Styela clava: one gene and its partner. The protein of the gene in region 1 interacts with the protein of each later gene in a pairwise test. Links are inferred from orthologs where the notes say so. Each region holds a gene or a part of one and is shown in the gene's direction. Other genes may lie near its edges.

Region 1 (11,291 bases):
CTGATCCAAAAACCTTGCCAACATTGCGAACTTGTTCACCCTGGGCGCTTCCGAAAGATTCGTATCAGGATGCGGCACAACCTGAACATGGTATGTGTACCAGGCTTGGGTTTTTCAGGTTGTGCGTCATCTTGGTACGAATACTCCCGGAGCGCCCAGGGTGAGCAATGTCGCAATGTTGTTGCTGGGGAACTTGCATTATTAGGACTGGGCAGCTGTATTCGGTGCCATAGAGCTATGAAATTTTTGGTGAAGAAAAGCTTGCCATGTTAGATGGAGCCAGAGCTACCAGAAATTTTAGTGGCTTCAGCTTCTAAGCATCATTCTCAGCTAATAATATTAATTTAAAACGAGGAAAAGAGACCGATATGACGGCATGCATTATTTCAAGTGCCAAGTTTGGATCGAAAAGTCAGTTAAACGCAAAAATATTATCGGTAAAAATGAACCTCGACTCAACCTACTTGAGAGCAGTTTCGTGGTTTCGTATTTTGCTGACTTTGAAGTTTCTGCGCCACGCGTAAGTCGAAGGGTCTGCGTTGCTTTGAGTCATTTCCCATTGCTATATTTAACTGTAAAGAGTTAAAGCAAGGACGTTCAATTCAGAAACTAAAATTTGAATTATATGATAGTTTTGCATTTTCCCGCCATTTACTTTGCAACAACTAACTAATAAGTAAATTTGGATAGGATTTACATATTTATCCCGGGGGAAAGGAAAACCGATAAGACGGTTTAAACACGTGACGAACCACGGGTCTAGTCCGGTAGTCAGTCCATGTTGGATGTGGTATTAGTTAGCCAGGTTTTGTTTTCATGGGCATGGACGTCATTTCCTCTTCCACATCGAAATTCATTTTGCTTGGATGACGAACACAAATTGTGTTTATTATGCGCATGCATGTTTGGTAGAAACATGTAGATTATATGACTGGCATGGGCAAAATATGGCCCGCGGTACAAATTCAGCCCGCCTGATGTTGCCACAACAACTGAAACCAAATTTTGAGGCTTAAGCTGAAAAATAGCTTAAAGAATTTTTTGAGATTGCTATTAAATTTATCCCTAGAACGAGACTTATGATTTTCCACTTTTACTTATGAAATACTGTAATTATTATTTATAAAATGTAACTTTGTACGTAACACTTACATGGCCCGCCAGTCTAGGTGGACGAAAATTTTGGCCCCTGATCCAAAAACCTTGCTCACCCATGTTATATGACATTGTTCTGTGGTCTGAAGGTTGCTCCCGAAGTATTCGTATCAAGTTTGATCACAATCTAAACACAGTATGTGTACCAGGTTGTGTGTCATTTTGGTACAAATACTTTCGGAGCGCCGTCTGAAGAATACTTTTTTATTAGAGCTTCAAACAAATATAAGATTAGAATTTTCATCTTAATCTTGGGGAGAGGAAAGCTGACGATACGGATTGATCATATGGTTACTGGTAATCTACTTACACGTAATCGTATCCCACAGGATTAGAGCTTGTGAACACATACAGGGTGAACATTGTTGCAATGTTGTTGTTGGAAACTCTCATTATCAGGACTGGGTAGCAGTATTCGGTGCCATGGAGCTGTGACATTTTGGTGAAGAAAAAGCTTGCCATGTTAGATGGAGCCAGAGCTACCAGAAATTTTATTGGCTCCAGCTTCTAAGCATCATTCTCAGCTAATAATGTTGATTTAAAACGAGAAAAAGAGACCGATATGACGGCACACATTATTTCAAGTGCCAAGTTTGGATCGGAAAGTCAGTTGAACGCAAAAAGAATATCGGTAAAATGAACCTCGACTAAACTTATTTAAGAGCAGGTTGCGAGACCAATGCGACACACCTTCGACACGCCACACTAAACAATGCCAATTGTTTGAACAACAAACTATAGCGCTGACACCGACAGGCACCTGATATTTGATTCATGGCAAGCATTAGTTAAAAGTACTCAGTACACAAAACTCCATACCCAGCTCAGCTTTGAGTAATTCTATTTGATTGTATTACGATAGGACCAGGATGTTTGGTTGTAATAAGACGGGATGGGGTGTTTGGTTGTATTAAGATGGGTAGAGGGTATTTGGTTGTATTAAGATATGACGAGGTGTTTGGTTGTATTAAGAAGAGAATCGGAAGTTCGGTTGTATAAAGATGGGAATAGGATTGTTTGGTTGTATTAAAGAAGGAATGCGATATTTGATTGTAATGAGGAGGGAAGTGGGAAGTTTGGTTGTAATAAGATGGGAAAGGGATATTTGGTTGTAATAAGATTGAAATGGATATATTAGGATGTGCATGAGACATTTGGTTGTATTAAGAAGGGAATTGAAATATTTGGTCATAAAAGATAATAATTGCGAAATTTGGTTGTATTAAGATGAATAGGGATATTTCGTTGCATTAGGATGGATAGGGATGTTTGGTTGTATTAAGATGAATTGTAATATTTGGTTGTATTAAGATTGGAATTGGGATTTTTGGTTGTATTAAGATGAATTGTAATATTTGGTTGTATTAAGATTGGAATTGGGATTTTTGGTTGTATTAAGATGGTATCGGATATTTGGTTGTATTAAGATGAGTTTGGGATGTTTGGTTGTATTAAGACGGCAACTGGATATTTGGTTGTATTAGGAAGGAATGGCTTGTTTGGTTGTATGAAGATGGGAATTGGATTGTTTGGTTGTATTAAGGTGGAAATGGGACATTTGGTTGTATTAAAAAGGGTTTTGAAAATTTGGTTGTATTAATATGACAATTTGACATCTAGCGATAGCTGTACCACCCTTAAATTAATCAAAATGCAGAAAATAAATTGCACGTGTCCCAATGATTTCAGTATTATTAATATGAGTTGGTTAGCACTAAGCCTTGGAATCGAATAAATGTTTGTTCAATTCACAATGTCCTGGCTTTCTGTTCATATATACGGTTAGCCCAGTCATGATTATTTTCACTAATGGCTCTATTGTTTATGCAACCTTCATCAATTAATCTAAACTATGCATTCCTGCTTTATTTTCAAATGGTTGATTTAAGAAATCGAGATTGTGTTTATAGTTTTCTGTGTTGCTTTCAACAAGCTTAAAATATACAAAATATGTTCCCTAATTCTGTAATCAGTTTTATTTATTTTTTTATTTTTTTTCAATAATTTTATCGTCTTTTATGCTAGCTGTGGAGTCAAAAATAAACTTATAAAGATTATATTTCAATATTTGCTGTCCTAGCGCCAGGACAAACGGGGGACTAGCATTCTAAAACCTCATTTGTTGATTAATCTACAAATAGTTCCTTGGATGAGATAGATTTGAGAAATACACAAGAGAGAGAACAATTTCTCTCCCCGTTTCAGAGTAGTGAGTCAGTTTGCATAGGATATATTCCGATGCGAATAGTAAAGAAAGAAAACGTAACATTAGATAAATGTTCAAGAAAACATATCATTTGACTCTTGAAGTTTGAAGTCATACACAATTGCTAGTATCCTCTTATATGTCAGTGAAGTATGTATGGAGTCATGATGAAAGAGAAAAAATGTAAAACGTAGGCCTATAGGAAAAATTAACAAATGACCCGATCACATGAAAACCAACAGCGTGTCGTCGGTTTCCAGTTGGGTTATACATTAGAGTAGACCAGCGTTTCCCAAACTGTGTTCCGTGGTAAAAACATTAAAAATACGTCTAAAATGGCCGCCATGGCGATTTATGGAACCTGAAGTTGTCGCCCAACTGACCGTTCGATATCGCGTCATCGTCGGCCTAAAGTGAACCAACTATAGGGTAGTGGCATTTTCATTAACCGTCGGTCTAGCTTGTTGACTGATAGGTTCATTACAGCTATGCTGCTGATTTTGCTAAATGCAAACAAGTAGGTCTAAAGAATAAAGGGGGCTCCCGAAGTATGCGAACCAAGATGGCGGACATCGGAATGTAATATGTGTACTAGGTTAGGGTTAGGCCATAATTTTAGGTATAAATACTACGGGAGGCTCTTGGCTAGTCTTCGAACTGATAATAGGACTAAAATAAGGAAAATTGGAAAAAAATTATCGCCTAACCCTAACCTGTTACCCATGTTACGTTCCGATGTCCGCCATCTTGGTTCGCATACTTCGGGAGCACCGAATAAAGACATAAGATCAACTCTTCTTCCTCCATATCTGCTTGGTTTTACTTTGAAATGCTGAAAAAATTGCTAAACTCTATTCAGTAGATAAATAAACTGCAGGTTTGCCGCTCGCGAAATTGCGGCAAGCACCTTTATCACCATTAGACGTAACATTAAGGGCAAACACTACGTTAATTTAAATTAAGAAACAATAAAACATTTATAATATATGCAATTTGTGAAATATTCAATCATATTTTAGGTATGTTTAGCACACTTCTGTTAGTTTTCGCGGCCCATTTGGCAACTTGCCACGAGAACCCATTGGGAACCGCTATATACATTAGGCCTACAACATTTTTCTTTATCCATTTTACTTTTACTCTTTCATTTTTTTGTGTTCCGCGAGGCGAGATAAAAATTGTAAGTGTTCCGTGGCCGAAATAGTTTGTGAAACGCTGGAGTAGACAATCCTTGGAATAGTCAGGTTGCTGAACAACCGCCGCCTTCATGGTTCCTATTTCTTTATTTCGAAGTCAGTGCGTCACGGAGCCATTGGAATATACTGTGGCGTCTCTGGGGTATGGGAGCCATTGCTCGTTCCATGGGCGCCGTTTGATTAGGGTAGCACGAAGGCGAAAATTTTAATTGTAAAATTTTCAACGAAATAATCCAAAGTGTAAATGATTGAATATCGCGTTTTTACTCATAACGTATAAGTATCTTAATTCAACAGCAGTCGTTAAAAATTGTCATTTAACGATCAAGTGGCGCATATATTTGGTATAAGTGCGTTTGTTATAAGTGCGTCTTGATGAGCGGGCACATGATACTCATCATGTTTTAAATTTTTTTAAAGGTTTTGCTCGAATTCTCCATTTTTAATTTTTTTTGTATTATCATATTGTGGAGTTTTCGAAATAAACTATCTATCTATCTAAGTGTGGGTTAATTTTGATTACCCGAAAAAAAAGAATACTTCTTCTTCTTAATGTAAGTAAGAACAGTAATAACAATACACTATCACCATTTTTTGATGTTTATTAATTTCAACTTCTTGCGTGTGAGAGGTAGTGTCTTATTTCCAAATAGTTTCTGTGTGTTCGACTCGTGCTACAACTCAATTATGTTACGCATCAATGAATACCATGAATAAGCAAATATCGTTTACCCTAGTCATGATTATCGTGTGTGCCTGAATTTCGTTTTACCTGTTGATGCCCAACACAGGTCTGCAAGTGGAGAGTTTGCGAGTTTCAGGCTTTTGTAGTAAGGGTATGCCTCAGTAAAATATCTGGATAAACTTGGCATTATGGACGGGACCTGGCAAGGCACTTGTATTCATTAAGTCTGTAAGTTTTGAAGTATAAGTTTTATTTCAAATCAGAAGCCTACAGCTGTCTGACTGTACAACAACGATAAAATAATTGTTGAAAAAAAAATTAAAATTGATTACTGACTCTAGAACTCTGCCTTTCTATTAATTTTGAATATACTGTATTGGGTATCAGGCATACCCGTACTTCTTTCTCGTCTTATTGTTTATATTTGTAAAATACTAGTACCGGTAAAGGATTTATGTTGAAAGGAAATTTTCCTTGACAAGTAAAAAAAATTACTCAAAAATAGCAATGTCAAAATGTTGTATAGTACAGTAGTGCGTATCTAAATTATGGAATTTATTTTTTATAATAATAGCAGGTTTATTTTGATTAGCATGAAAGGTGATAGAATAATAGCCTAGTTAAAATAAAATTAAAAAATAGCCTGCTAGCTGAATGGTTACAGAAAGCTTAAGTGTCTTTAATAGCTTAAGTGTTTTTTGTAGGTGTGCTGGTGAGCAGAAGCATGGTACTTTCACTTTTTTGCTGTTTCAAGGGTTTTACTTGCTCTGCAGAATTCTCCATTTTAATTAGTGTATTTAGGAAGGAAGGATTTACATAATTATCTGTATTATGGAGTTTTCAAAAGTATCTATCTTATACAGTTAGACTATATTAATTTGTTTGAAATTATCATATCTCAGACTTTTTAATGAAGAAACTACGAGCTGTTTCTCACATTTCAGCTCACATTTAAAATATAAGAATGGATAGGTTAATGAGATTAGGAGCGGGTGGGGGACTTCAGGGATTTGGACAACAACCCCAGTCTGATGCTCCCATGGTTGACACAGCAGAACAAGTTTATATTTCATCGTTAGCTTTATTAAAGGTGAGAAATTGTGATTGGTGTTTTTTATTTCTTGTGTTTTAAACGCCAGTTTTCAAAATTTTCTGTGTTCGTCTTGTGTATCATACTTCTTTTTATCATGGTGTAGTTCAAAATAAAATGTCTTTTTTTTATGTCTCATGGTTTGAAACTCATTTGTAGTTATATTGCTCAATTTCTCTCTTAGGTCTGTGAGTGTAAAATGTAAAATAAAATTAGAATAATAATATAGTCAGAATAAATTAATCATATTTTTGTATTCATTAAAAAAAAACTAGGTTGGCTTCCCACTTTGCGATAAGTATTAAATTTGCAATGATTAATTTCAATAACCTAATCAATGTTGAAAAATCTAAGAAGGTATATTGGTCACTGAATCCAACACTAGCCACTTACCCTTCCAAAATTCCCTCAAAAACAATGAAGTTACAGCATAAACAATGTTAGATAAATCAAATTTCTGGATAAACCTCTGCAGGCTCTTTATGCAACTTACAGACTAACATAAATTTATCTTTTCAGATGTTGAAACATGGCAGGGCTGGCGTACCAATGGAAGTCATGGGTTTGATGCTCGGAGAATTTGTTGATGATTATACGGTGAGATATTGTTTGTACTCAATACTGACTGAAGATTGTAATGAATATCTGTATTTTTATACACCTTTCACTTCAAACAAGACTCAGTTACCCTATGACACCAGAAGACACAAGGAGTCCAGCGATCTTCTCTGCATATAATTATCCCTATTTAGGTATAAATTCATTACGACTTCATAATTCAGCATAAAAGGCAATAAAAGAATTAATGAAAACAAAATAAATATGATTAGCAAATCAGGAAAGTGAACAAAATAATAAATAAGTGAGGGTTTGAACGTACAAATTTTAGATGAAAAGTGTTGTCAAAAGAAGTGTTCATTCACACAGAATTTGAACTCGCGACGGGTACTTGGAGGTGCAATGGAAGGCATATTTCTAACTATGAGCATGATGTGTAAACTGCCAAGCCTTCTTCCAAAAGCTTACAATGCTTGCTTGTATGATGTTAAGATGGAGTAAAACACCTCATAAAAACTCGGAACAAGTCAGGGCTGATTATAAATTTTATCCTTTTTAACAGGTCAGAGTGATTGATGTATTTGCAATGCCTCAGTCTGGCACTGGAGTCAGTGTTGAAGCTGTGGATCCGGTGTTTCAAGCCAAGATGTTGGACATGCTGAAACAGACTGGAAGGTATGCTGATATTAGTTGTGTCAGCCTACTTAGGAAAGTGTGGGGAATTTTGTTTGCTTCGTGATGATAATAGAATAACAGGATTTCTATATTTATCCTTTTGGGAGTGGGAAGCCCAGAAAATGATGTTTTGGGTGGTACTGGTATCTGACTCAGATGACTGTGAATGGTTGTATCGATACCACCCAGTCATCTAAAACTTAATTTTTCCCATTTTGCTATCATATATATTTTATATGTTTTCTGGTTTAACGAAAAAAAAAATTCTTTCTTTCTCAATCATATGGCGAACCAAGGACTTTCGTCTGGTTACCAGTTCATGCAGAGGCATAGTTGGCTGGTCATTCGTTTCAAACGCATGGACTTTTGAAACAAACATGTTTGACCACTTGATGCTTCTTATGCAGTGTGTTTTGGTTTTAATAAATGTGTTGAAATGACTAATAAAATTTTTTTTTTAATACAGGCCTGAAATGGTGGTAGGTTGGTACCATTCCCATCCTGGCTTCGGTTGCTGGCTATCTGGTGTGGACATCAACACCCAACAAAGTTTCGAAGCGTTGTCCGAACGAGCTGTTGCCGTCGTGGTCGACCCGATTCAGAGCGTTAAAGGAAAGGTTAGTCTTGTCATTATAAATGTCTAGAACAGGGGTTCCCAAGCTTTTTTCAGGACGACCCCAAATACATCTTTCAAGTTTCCAGTGCGACCCCAGGTCAATATATATATATATATTTCATGAAACTCTAGAGCTTGTTTCACTGGACTTTTGAGTTTGGTCATGTCGTGGTATTAAGTAAAATAAGCTAAAACCAAACAAGCGCCTACATTTTCTATAGAATAAGCATGCCTATGTTCCTGTTTTAAAGTAAGCCATGGACTACAAACTGCTAAATTTAACTTGGTTTGTCAAATCTTAGATGCTTTGTACATCCATCCTCTACCATACCTCAGCGACCCCATGACCTGTTTGCGACCCTACCTACTTATCACTCAAACCCAAATTGGGGTCGCGACCCCTGGTTTGGGATCCCCTGGTCTAGAATATAATTGTTTTCTTCACTGTTGCTTCAAATAACGCTCGGTACAGGAAAGCAATCAGACCACGGTCTCTCAAGCTGGGCTCTAGGGGCCATGGGCGGGCGATTCTCTGGTAGTCATTAGCTAAGACTTTCACCGATTATTATTTTTCAATTCTTCAACTGTAATGCATATTTCCATGTTAGTGTTGTGGAGATTCACATAAATTATTACATTCATTTAAAACTAATACCAAGTACTGCAATTTGTTTTCCATAAAGTGGTCTGTAGCAAAATAGGACGCTCCAGAAGTGTGTGTACCAATACGGAGGTAACTAATTTTGTTTGCTTATTTTACATCAAGTTGTGTAAAGGGACTGAAACCTATAGGCAGGGGATATATTCACTTGGCTAACACAGAACCCGCAATAGAACTAAAATAAGGAAAATCGGAATAAAATTATGGCCTAACCCTAACCTGGTACACACAATACTGGAGTAGCAGGAATAGTCTGTTAATTCCAATAATTCTCAGTTTGATTGAGCTTTTTCTTTCCAGGTTGTCATCGATGCTTTCCGACTGATCAACCCCAACATGATGGTCTTGGGCCACGAACCTCGGCAGACAACGTCTAACCTTGGACATTTACAGAAGCCTTCCATACAGGTAATAAATTTCACACTGTGGTAGGTGTGTTGTACTTAAGTATTAGGAATGTACTGATTATTATCTTTCTATATTTAATTATTGGAAATAACAGCTAGAAAATGATTGGAAAATACAAGTTGTATTTAGGTTAGGTGGGCCAATAACGTTACACTCAGGATCAGCCAAAACATTGGAGAATGAAATATGTGCACGACACTCCTAATTCTCCAGAATGTATCTGAAATAGTAAAATATTCCCTGTTTTGAAACATCTTGAAATCTTTTCCAGGCTTTGATTCACGGTTTGAACAGACATTACTACTCGATTGCCATCAACTACAGAAAGAATGAACTTGAACAGAAGATGCTGCTCAACCTGCATAAAAGAAGGTTCTTGCTGGAATTTCAAATTTTTCGGGGTTCAAATTTTGTGCTTTAAATCAGTGGTGTGCAACCTGCAGCCCACAAGGAAAAATTGTGCGGCCCGCAGTGTCAATTTTGAATGGTGTGCGGCCTGCGACGCCAGTTTTTAATTTAGTTTAATCTGACATGCGCGAGTAATTTATGTTGCAAAGTGTATACATGATGCCTATGAGATTCAATGTCTGCTGGCTCGAAAACTTTTGTAACTGCAACTACGAGAAAGCCTATGGTAAACAAAGATGTGACTCGCAATTTCAGTCAGTTATTGGTATCTGGCCTTCCTGTATTAAAGGTTGCACACCCCTGCTTTAAATGGTGGTAATCAAACCAACTCTAAGGAGCATCAAAATAACTAAGCATTCTCTACAGATAATTGAATCTTTTTTTTGTAGTTTTGGGCCAAAGTTGATGTCAAAATATTTCCTCAACCTTGCTGTGGCCTTGAGTTGAGTCAAACATATAATCTGTGTTAACGCTGAGTTTGGGTAGTTTTTAAATGACTTGAAGTCTGGTGTATTTCTCTGTTTTGACTTCTCATTTCATTCATGGAAAATAAAATAAATCTTTTGTTTACTAGTTGGATCGATGGCCTGACTTTGACAGATTACAGCGAGCATTGTAAAGTGAATGAAGATACCGTCACTAATATGCTGCAGTTGGCCAAAAATTATAAAAAGGTATTTGGTTGTATTAAGATGGGAATTGGATGTTTGGTTGTATTAGAAGTGGTTTTTGGTTGTATTAAAATGGGATTTGGGATATTTTGTTGTATTAAGATGGGATTGGGATATTTGGTTGTATTAAAATGGGATTGGGATATTTGGTTGTTTTAAGATGGGATTGGGATATTTGGTTGTATTAATATGGGAATTGGATGTTTTACTTGTATTAAGAACGGGATTAGATGTTTGGTTGTACTAATATGAGAATTGGGATGTTTGGTTGTATTAAGATGGGATTCGGGATGTTTGGTTGTACTAATATGAGAATTGGGATGTTTGGTTGTATTAAATGGGAATTGGATATTTGGTTGTATTAAATGGGAATTGGATGTTTGGTTGTATTAAGATGAGAATTGGGATGTTTGGTTGTATTAATATGAGAATTGGGATGTTTGGTTGTATTAAGATGGGAATTGGATATTTGGTTGTATTAATATGGGAATTGGATGTTTACTTGTATTAAGAACGGGATTAGATATTTGGTTGTATTAATATGGGAATTGGATGTTTACTTGTATTAAGAACGGGATTAGATATTTGGTTGTAATAACAGTGGAATTGGATGTTTGGTTGTATTAAGATGGGAATTGGATGTTTGGTTGTATTAAGATGGGAATTGAGACATTTGGTTGTATTAATATGAGAATTGGGATGTTTGGTTGTATTAACAAGGGAATTGGATCGTTGGTTGTATTAAGATGGGAATTGGATGTTTGGTTGTATTAATATGGGAATTGGATGTTTACTTGTATTAAGAACGGGATTAGATATTTGGTTGTAATAACAGTGGAATTGGATGTTTGGTTGTATTAAGATGGGAATTGGATGTTTGGTTGTATTAAGATGGGAATTGAGACATTTGGTTGTATTAATATGAGAATTGGGATGTTTGGTTGTATTAACAAGGGAATTGG
Region 2 (10,548 bases), on another chromosome or scaffold:
GTCGTCGTGCTACCTGCAATGATTGTTTGATTACTAAAGTATACGATGCTATCTGAAATATACAAAACTTCACTGGCGTTTATTTACATTTATTCAAGTATAACAATCGAGTATAGAAAGGCGGATAGTCATATTGCGCGAGTAATAATGACCGTTCTGAAATAATATAGCTTGGAAGCTTCTTTCTGTGGTACTGATGCTTTGAAAAAATCTGTTATGTTACACGTTCATATAATGTATCACTATCAATAAATTAACATATGACAATAACGTATACGAAGGATGTATTATGCAAAAATACATCAAATAAGGTCATAATGATGACTAAACCAAATAAAATGAAAACATACCATCCATTTTGACAACCACTGTTGCATTTCTGTCTTTTTCTCGCTTATTGTGAACATAACGTTAAAGAAAATCAAAAATAAACTGTAACCCTGTGATGGCCAGTTTCAGATGAATGCCAAAGTCATTGTAATAAAACTGGTAAACAACCATGGCTTGGGTACGCATAATATACAAATCTTATCTATTTATAATTGTCTAATATCAGTCATAAATTAGGCAGAAATGGTAGAATGTAATCTATGAATTCTCCATGATACACTGTACAACGTCTCAATTTATTTAGATACATCTACACATTATAAGCATCAACCAATACAACTTTTACATCAATGTGATAGACAAGATTATTTTGTTCAAAGAATACGGGATATTGATTTTATAGAAATGTCCTGAAGGGAAACGTGATTGCGTATTTCAAAGGGCACACAAGTATGTTGTAAAGAAGAAATAGCAATCACTAAAACAAGTTAGCTCGGCAGAAAACTCATTTTATTCAAAGGATATGAATGGCCGCACACGGACAGCAACTTTAACATTTTCAGCCATCTCTGTGGATTCGGAATGTCCCGAACAATTATCTTTAGGATAATTTTAAAATAGTTCCTGTTGGAAGAAAAATATAGAAAAACTAATTATTTGAATAATGGTGAAATATTCTTATTATCTAATAAAAAGACAACTGTCTAAAATTCACATGCTTTCCTGACAATGCAAACCTAGTCAATGCTACTGATGAGACCGTTGGCTCTCGTTTTGCTGACTGTTTGCGTAATCTCGGCATGGGGAACTATCCTTGTTTGCTTAATTAGGCAAAGCTAGCTAGACAAAATCTTTACGGTCTGAGTATCCAAAACTATTACGGGTTGTCATGTTCTTTTAATTGATTGCTATTGTGCTTCCAACAATATTTCGAGGAGTCGTTTGTGCGTATACTCTCGAATATCACCGCATATTGTAATATGAAATGGTTGACAATAGGTTCGCCAATGTGTGGTCGAGCATGACTCGCAACACGTAACAATGCTTCATGATTCTTCACTTAGCATATATGAGAGCTGTGATGCTACAATTTGTTTGTGAATATTTTTTATACGGGTTTTAAGTTGAGCATGTATGATAAGTCATTTTTGACAAGCTCACAATACTTATTTGGGAATCCTCAATCATTAACAATAGGAACGCTTTGCTTCCTTTTTTTATTGCTATTATCACAAACTATGATGCTCCACACAATTTATTATATGTTTATAACGCAATTTAGGCTATGAAAAAGTTTGTTGTTCGTTTGAAGTCAACACTAAAATACAGTGACAGTAACAGAGGCGTAGCTTAGGGGGGGCAGTGGGGTACATATGCCCCCGGGCGCCAAGGTACAGGGGCGCCAAAATGGGGCTGGCAAAAATTTCACAACAAAGGTAAAAAACGGTCACAAGCAAGATCGCACCGGCGGCAGACATCTAATCTTAGTACATGGCAAATTGCACACTTGGTCAGACCACTTACGACTGCCGACGTCATCACGCACATAGCACGGTCAGATTTCCATCGTAATTACATGGCCAAAAAAATTTGGCCGGAAAACAAAGCAAAATTTGATTTGGTAACGTTAGGTAACAAAATGCACCGGGTTAATTACGTGGTTCTGTATCGTTAAGTTCTTGCCTGCGCACTCGGATGTAAGTTGATATTAGTTCTGTGCTGGAGACAAATGGAAACGGAATTTGGTTGAATGATGTTAATACATGTTTTGAGTAATACGTGGATTGTATTTTGTTGTCAAAGTACCGTACTTTGCGGCAGAGTTACATAAAATATATTATACTGTGCTAAAAGACCTCAATGCCGTTTTCGACAATTCGTCGAGATTGCACAGATTTTGCAAATCTCTACCACACGGACATCAATGGCCACGAACTTTTCACCGAAATTGGAGATTGCAGAATGCTGCTCAGTAACAGAACTGTAGATCAACCAGAAACTCCTTCGGCTCTTCTTGGTTTTATTGTGTCTTTTGGAGACGACGTTTTATTCAATCTACGAATTTCTCTACAAATTTTGTTAACAATATCAGTTTCAATTGCAAGCTGTGAACGGTCTTTCAGCAGATTGAAACTTATTTTGTCGTATTCGCGTGCATCAACGGGACAGGATCGTCTCCGTGATCTTGCATTTCTAAGTGTTGAAAGAGAAACATTGGAAAAAAACAGATTTTGTACCAGATCATCTTTGACAGTAACTGAGTGGGACATATGCTCTATTTTGTATAGCTTTGCCTCTTCTTTAAATAAAATGTTCCATTAAAATTTGAATTTACATATACATATATTTTTGAATAAATAATAAAATATATAAATACATATAAATTTGAATTCACATATCGTCACGCTAATACCCGAATTGCGTAAGTCATTTTGGGCGGTTTTGAATTTTTCATAAAATAGGTATTTATGTAATGCTGCGCACCTGTCTGTTAACTCAGATTTTATTTTAAGAATTCCGAAACCCATAAAAATAGAAATTTTGTATGATACGCAAATTTGTTCAATTGTTCCGTCATAATGAATTATCATTGTTAACGCAGGACTATTGTGACGTCACGAAGGCAAAATAACCTAGGCGAAGGATTTTCGAGTTTTTGCATCTCAGATTCTAGCTTAGCGCTAATAATTTTCAATTTATACTACTGTATAGGAAGGCGTGCACTTGTGATATTTACTGTCTGAGTCCAATTCACCTTGGTTGACTTTTATATAAGAGTACATTACTGTTTTATTCTTTATATTTAACTTTAGTCTTATTTCGGTGATGTGCAGAGCGTGTTATATTGATGAAATATATATTTTTAAACATAAAAAATAATGTAATTGAAACAGATTAGCTATTTTGGATTGTTTGGTTTTCAGGACTGGTACATATAGACAAGTTGCAAAATTGCGTATGTCCTCTAGCCATAGACACATTTTTGCCTAAATCACAGTGTGCCATTATGACGTCACATGACTGCGTCATACAAATTAACTTAAATCCGGCTACGATCAAAAAGTTGAACTATGGCAAATTAAAGACTCTCAATGGCATAGCAATATCATTAGGAAGTATTTTTACGTTTTTCTCAAAACAGCTAAAAATGACTTACGCAATTCGGTTATTAGCGTGACGAAATATAATTTTTTTTACATATACAATTAAATGCAATAGAAAACATGATTAAACGTGGGGGTCGGGGCGCCAATTTTATATTTTGCCCCGGGCGCAAAATGGTTCCATTACATTTGAACCCACGTACATTTGAACCCATGACAATTGCACCTGTATGCTATTGCACCTATGGAATTTTTTCTGTTTCACGGATAGTTAAACCCATACTAACCCTAACCCATGGGTTTTAGCACCCGCATATAAATTGAACCCGTGGATACACGCATGGGTTCAAATGTACGTGGGTTCAAATGTACGGTCACCGCGCAAAATATGCTGGCTACGCCTCTGGACAGTAACGATCGTGACTTGGATTGGCATGATCTGTTCGTGTGACCTGTCCTGTAATCTCCTAAAGATTTTATTTATATATATACGATTTTTATTTATTGAGACAAAAGAACATAGCCTACATATTACATGCAGTAGTAAAAGTATAGGACTTTAACTGCTTCAAGCTGTCACACAATTAAGTTTTGTAAAAGGACACTTTGACGTCATTTAATTTTCGTCAAACCAGCAAACACATACTATTTAAAATAATAATGAAATAAGGGAATCAAAAATTTTCGGTAGCTGACTGGATGGTAACGATTTAGGTCAGGGGCTTGCAACCTTTTATAAAGGGGGCTAGATACAAATAACTAGATGAAACCGCGGGCCAACATAGGCTTGCTAGTAGTTGAAGGCAGAAAAATTTTGATTATTGATCTTATGACATGCGTTGTCCGCTTCGCACAAGCTAGTTGTTAGAGCAGTGTAACGTCAAAGGCATAGATAATAAAAACTTTGCAACGCATGGGGATTGGAATTACTCCTACCAGATTAAACTATATTGAAAACTCGTTTTGCGGTCCGCACACCATTCAAAATTAGCACTTCCCCGCGGGCCGCACAAATTTCCTTATGAGTCGCATTTTCCCGCGGGCCGCATGTTGCAGACCCCTGATTCAGGCCATCTGAGTCAGTCACCACCCAATACATATATATAATTGAATAAATAAACTAATACTCGATGAGTTGCTTTGTAAAATTTGGTTCACAGTCATAGCTATCGAGTAAGTACCCGAGGTAAGTAGGATAATTGAAAGTAAAACATCCTAACATTTACCCGCCTCCCCGTCGCCACCAATCCGAGAGCGGATATTTTGTTGTTTTAGAAACAATACGCCTTTGCCCCCGTTCAAAATAAAAATGATGGTTGACAATTTGCCACTAAAAATCATGTTGATCGTCAAAGGGCCGCAGTCTGATTGAGTTACATACAAGAAGAAAAAATAAAATATGAGACACAAATAGGAGATAGGAGGAGTGTTTGCTCATACATTAAAAAATATAGCAAACGAAAATAAATACTTACTAATTCCATTGCTCTAATTAATATGTACTTAATGAACATGTAAACTACTATATGTAAATAACAGGATATATTATTTTTTTTATTAATAAAGACATCACATTTATATAGACACAATGTCAAAATACAATTGCACTTAAAAACACAGCTTATGATAGTTTTCCACTTCTTCTTATGGATTAACAGTTTGCCTTTTTTAGTTGCAATAGCTTTTTCACAGTAAATAAAAATTTTTGTCATATATAAAAATTGACAAAACTGAGGCCTTTCATCACGAAGTTTACATTTCTATATAAAACATCTGGCACATAATAAAACACAATTTATACCTTTTTTCTGCCCTACTCCCATTAACTATTTACCACAATTGCTGCGTAAATTTAAAGCCATAATGTATCACAGTTTCGACATGCATGGATATATTAATTTAATTTAAAAGAAATAATCCGAGATCATTGATCACGTCATGACATATTGGAATCCACATACCGTAGGCTACTAATCGTTGGTGCCTCAGAGTTGAGAATATAGATTTCACGAGCTGTTGTTTTCTATTACATACAATTGGAAATAATTTTGTGAGTGTCTATGAATAAATTTGATAAGTTTAGGTGAGGGAAAAAGCACCTTCTTCTTGGTAAAACCTTCCACCTCATATTCTGTACGATTTAAACTTTATCTAAGGTTTTGTTTGCTCTCTTCTGGTTTTCTAATCAGTTTTCATTTATTTGGGTTTATTAATCATTTTATTGCCTATTATGCTGATTGAGTCCAAATAAACTTATACTTAAATACAGTAATGCTTTCATACTTGGCGTTTATAATGTGAATAGTGATGAAAGGAACAAAAATAAACGCACGGCCATAACCATTGTTCCTAACCGCAGTAGTCTTCTTTGAGACGGTAACTAAACAAATTAATACTCCCTGATTTTTCGCTTGCGCTAATAACAAATTCTGAATCCTTCTCATATCTCCACAAAAAAATGATTACGGACAAGATTTTCAAAGTCAGTTGGCATATGATCTTTGTGTTGTTGTTCCCCGATTCAGAATATCCACCAGTTGGCGTACTTTTACCAATCTCTGGCTCTCCCCATCCTTTTAGCGTGGCCATCGGGAAATCGGCAGTCATGAGGTAATTTTCAACAATATTTGAACATTTTCTCTTTTTATTGCATTATAATGGGGTTGGAATTTGTATAGAAAGAATGAAAAATTATCAAATATCATTTAGATGCCCTGCGTTGCCGTTAGAATATTAGTTATTTTTCCTGCAGTGTCATCAGGAGTGTTGTAATTAAGAATATTTTTCTGCCCATTTCCACTCTCAGACATGACCATGTAATGCAACAAGTGAATAGTCCTTTGGGGTGTGTTTCATCGAATGAATATTGGCATGATAGTTTTCAATATTATGTTATTGTAAAATCATTGTTTGCTGCCATTTTATACATTTGTATCTCTACTGGGAAGAGTGTTTGTTTTAGCTCACCAGCTAGCCTATAAGTGCTCAGACACAGGTCTTAACTTTGTGAAAGGCGGACTGGTTTTTGATATATCAGCAACTGTTCTAGGAAAAAAAAACCTAGTATACTTGAATTGTCTTTGCCTAGTCAATTCACACTCATTTTGTATTACGCGTGTGTACTGTTCCTTCTCACCACTGTCTGACTGTACAGTGTTATAGAAGATACACTGATCTGTAGAAAGATAAATGCTCTGGATTTATCTGCATTGTGTCATAATGATTTAAATTTGAATATTTCATTTATTTGTTCTAGCACCCTTCGACTGCAAAAGCGGCTTGCCGCTGCTGTTATGAAATGCGGGAAGAATAAAGTTTGGTTGGATCCAAATGAAACTTCCATGATTTCAAATGCCAATTCAAGTAAGAGTTTTCACCTCCGCCTTTAATAGCTTGTTCTTTATCTCATTCTGATTTAGAAGATGAAATATACAGCAGTTTAACTTTTTCACCAAGACAAAGTTTTTCAAAGACTTCTCACACATAGTATTATTTAAAATATTATATTAGTTGGTAACATAAATCTGTTAACATTAAAATATAAACCTTTCTTATAATAAATAAAATCTGACATAAGCTAGAATTTTGATATTATTTAAGTATATTTTTAATTATTAGATTCGGATTCACATCTATGTGTAACATTTCATTTTCACAGGGCAAAATGTTCGTAAATTGATCAAAGATGGTCTGATTATCCGAAAACCTGTGGCTGTTCATTCTCGTGCAAGAGTGCGAAAGAATACAATCGCTCGTAGAAAAGGTCGCCACACAGGACGAGGTATGAATCAATGACATGATTCTATATATAAACTTGTGAAATTATCACATTTAAGCTTTTCTAACTCGTGAAGATATTTTTGGTCAAGTAGAATTCGGGAGTTTTTTATATAAAAAATTGAATTAAAATAATATTATTTATTTGATTAATTTTTGCAAATAGGTAAAAGAAAGGGTACTGCAAATGCACGTATGCCTGAAAAAGTAATCTGGATTCGGCGAATGAGAGTTCTTCGACGTCTTCTGAGAAAATACAGAGAATCGAAAAAGATCGACAAGCATATGTATGTAGAATGTACACTATTAGCCCTTTTTTGCTGCATATTCGTTTCTTAAAAATTCCTAAATCTTACCTCAAATGATTTTTGTTATCTAATCGAACTACCTCTTCGTCAATTCGTTCGATATCAAACTCCATGAAGCTGAAAAATTATTACTAATCTTATCGACTAAATTTCATTTTATAGGTACCATGAACTTTACTTGAAAGCTAAAGGTAATGGATTCAAGAATAAGCGTATCCTTATGGAACATATTCACAAAGAAAAGGCCAAGAAGTCGAGAACAAAGATGTTCATGTAAGAAAATAATTATTATCAATTGTTACTTATCGATTTTAATCGGTAAGTAGGTATCTGTTTGTCTGTTAGATGCACGCGATATCTCACGAAAGCGAGATTGGACCTGCTCCAGATTTTGCATGTGCATTCATCTTATCTCGGACCAGAAGCCTATTGATTTTGGGCGAATTATGTCGTATAATTAGCGAGTTATTAATTAATTAGTGATGAGACACAAGGTGTCACTATGGAGTAAGAGTGCTGTTTTGAGGAATCCTCTAACTTTCGATGGACAAGTCTTCGGTCTCTGACCGATATTTTCGTTTACTTTTCAGTGAAGTTAAACGGATAAATTTTGCACTGTGGAAAATTTTTAGTGCACTTTTATGAATATAATTCTTTTTTTTTTTATTCAAGTTGCTGCGCCTTGTTGGAGAATATGCAAAATATTACTATTTTCAGATGCATGATTTTGATAATGCTACTTTTAGTATGAATTAGACATTCTGTTCAGGGCTGTGGAATAGGGGTTTCAGACCTTGATAAAAGAATTTACCGAAGAAACTCAAAGAACAATGTAGTTTACTAAGCATTATTAACAGTATATTACTAAAGAACACTCTTGCTTATACGGAAGTTTTGTTGTCAAAATTTGATTTTCTCAAGAGCTGGAGTCTGAGCCTGGGTTTTCTAAAACCCATATTCAGAGTCCACAGAAAGTTTTCTTTCACAGCCCTGATTCGGCTGTTTACTATTCCTAAATTTTTGCATTGTCTCAAATCAGTGACCAGGCGGAAGCTCGTCGCCAAAAGAACAAGGAGGCCAGAAGAAGAAGGGAAGAGAGAATTCAGACCAAAAAGAAGGAAATGCTTTCAGCACTTGCAAAAGAGGACGAAGCTGTCAAGAAGGAGTGAATTCTATTTGCCTTTTAAATTTCTGTGGCTATATTCACTACAATTGTACAACAAATAGTGCAAATACTTTTTTTGTTTCTATGGGTATGTTAGAGATAGTTTAGACAGGAATTATGTCAAGTGGGTGTCATTAAAATGCAATAAAGCCAGTCCTATGTCAAAATGTTGGTATATGCAACTGGGGTTTAATATCGGTCTGGATGATTAAGATGGTAAAAATATTGCCTAAAATCTCCCATAGTTTTCCAAGTTTCATGCTCTGTTGCCTCCTGCTTCCAGAAACTGAAAACTATTTTGGTTTGCGACTAGTTCACATCAGTTATTTTGTTTGCCTGGTTTAGTGATAAGAAGCCAATAAACAAAAGGTGATGGGTGGATCCAGTTTGAGAAGCCTTGCTTCAGGTGGAGACCTGGCTAGTTGGGTGCAATCATCTCTGTCATCATCATTTGCATTACCTTGTCAAGGTGGTGATTAATCAGAAAGGAAGTGACGTCCGAGAGATAATAAGGAACTTGCGACAGATGCGATACTCAAGAACAAAAGTGTCAAACTTTTCTTGGAATTTGGAGTGAAGAACACAACTATTCATTTATGGGAAAAAGCTTGTGCGCTAGATTATGACGCAATGGGAGGTGGTGGTTTTATTTAGCCATTTTGTTTCTCTTCATTTTTTTGTAAAATCCTACACCCAGTTGAAATCACGAATCGATCTGAAGCACAAAGTTTTTCTCAAATATCATGAAATGCTCTGAATTAGACAGAGAACAGCAACTCGTTACACAAAATGATCATGACAAGTTAGTCTCAGTTATCATGAACCATATCCTCTTGTCCAGTTACCAGTCCATGTCCGGTATTGGACTTTTCTAATCGACCAGCAGTTACATGAACCACCCTTCGCCGGCAAGAGGTCCTCCATTCCTTTCGCACGTAATTACCCCCCATGATTCAAACGCAGGGTAACCAGAGGTACCGCATGCCGCCAGCTAAGTCCCATATCCATACCATCGATTCGGAAATAGACAATGATCGATGTGGTATCATTTATTTCTGACAAGAACACAACACAGCATATACATCACTCATGGTAAAGCAAGAACAGTGGCAGTAGAAAAAATAAGACAGGATTTGATAACTTACAATATTCGGCATGAAAAAAAGGTTTGTACTTGCTGATCACAAACATGCAATATTTAAAAATCCAACGTTCCCCCAATATTTGAGCAGGAAGGATAACACAAAACCATCAAAAAGTGAATGTGTTTAAAAAACTATATATGTATTCAACACAATGAACATTCAAGTTGCAAACAAAGCTTTCAGATGGAAGTATCAGGAAGAATTTGCTCAGCTTCATCATTGGTTACACTAGATCCAGCAGAAATGTCCTCTACTTCCATATCTTCTGCATCTGTGAAAAGCAAGATGTCAGTTATAAGTGTGGGATTAAAAATATTAAGAACAGATTCTATTTTGTATCAAACTCACTAACAACAGGTTCCCTCATTTTAGAAAATGCATGTAGATACATTAACATGACTTTCGCAAAGCCAAAAAGAGGACTAGTTATCAGCTGTGGTGCATATTACCAGTTTGCCGTCTAGTGCACCGGTTCTCAACCAATGGGCCACAGAAACATGTTCAGGTGGGCCACAAACATATTAAAAATTTGCTAGAGTTGTTGATAAATTGGTTAAATTTTCATTGTAGTAACAATGAATGATGCTTTTTTTGCTACTGAGTGGTATTTTTTATTTTAATTATTAAATTGGAGATGTCTATCTTTACAAAATAATTTTTTTTTGTTTTTCTATAGTTCTTCCCTCACACAAGAAAGTTAATGGGGCACAGAATCTTTT

What was found.
Region 2: the proteins of 26S proteasome non-ATPase regulatory subunit 14 (region 1) and large ribosomal subunit protein eL19-like interact in a two-hybrid assay, tested with the Caenorhabditis elegans proteins (2 studies listed by BioGRID). The link is inferred for Styela clava from reciprocal best matches to the Caenorhabditis elegans genes rpn-11 and rpl-19.

Annotation. Positions count from the first base shown.
Region 1 is NC_135263.1:666,173-677,463, reverse strand, and holds the start of 26S proteasome non-ATPase regulatory subunit 14, read left to right. Parts: upstream 1-6,129; 5' UTR 6,130-6,206; coding exon 6,207-6,332; intron 6,333-6,851; coding exon 6,852-6,929; intron 6,930-7,452; coding exon 7,453-7,565; intron 7,566-8,031; coding exon 8,032-8,182; intron 8,183-9,142; coding exon 9,143-9,250; intron 9,251-9,521; coding exon 9,522-9,622; intron 9,623-10,232; coding exon 10,233-10,332; intron 10,333-11,291. UniProt on the Caenorhabditis elegans protein: Metalloprotease component of the 26S proteasome that specifically cleaves 'Lys-63'-linked polyubiquitin chains. The 26S proteasome is involved in the ATP-dependent degradation of ubiquitinated proteins.
Region 2 is NC_135252.1:12,332,353-12,342,900, reverse strand, and holds large ribosomal subunit protein eL19-like, read left to right. Parts: upstream 1-5,877; 5' UTR 5,878-5,892; coding exon 5,893-6,044; intron 6,045-6,690; coding exon 6,691-6,797; intron 6,798-7,092; coding exon 7,093-7,215; intron 7,216-7,377; coding exon 7,378-7,498; intron 7,499-7,681; coding exon 7,682-7,792; intron 7,793-8,558; coding exon 8,559-8,688; 3' UTR 8,689-8,754; downstream 8,755-10,548. Other genes in the region: kinesin-like protein KIF28, read right to left, coding at 1-13, 351-400, 857-897; endoplasmic reticulum junction formation protein lunapark-B-like, read right to left, coding at 10,009-10,100.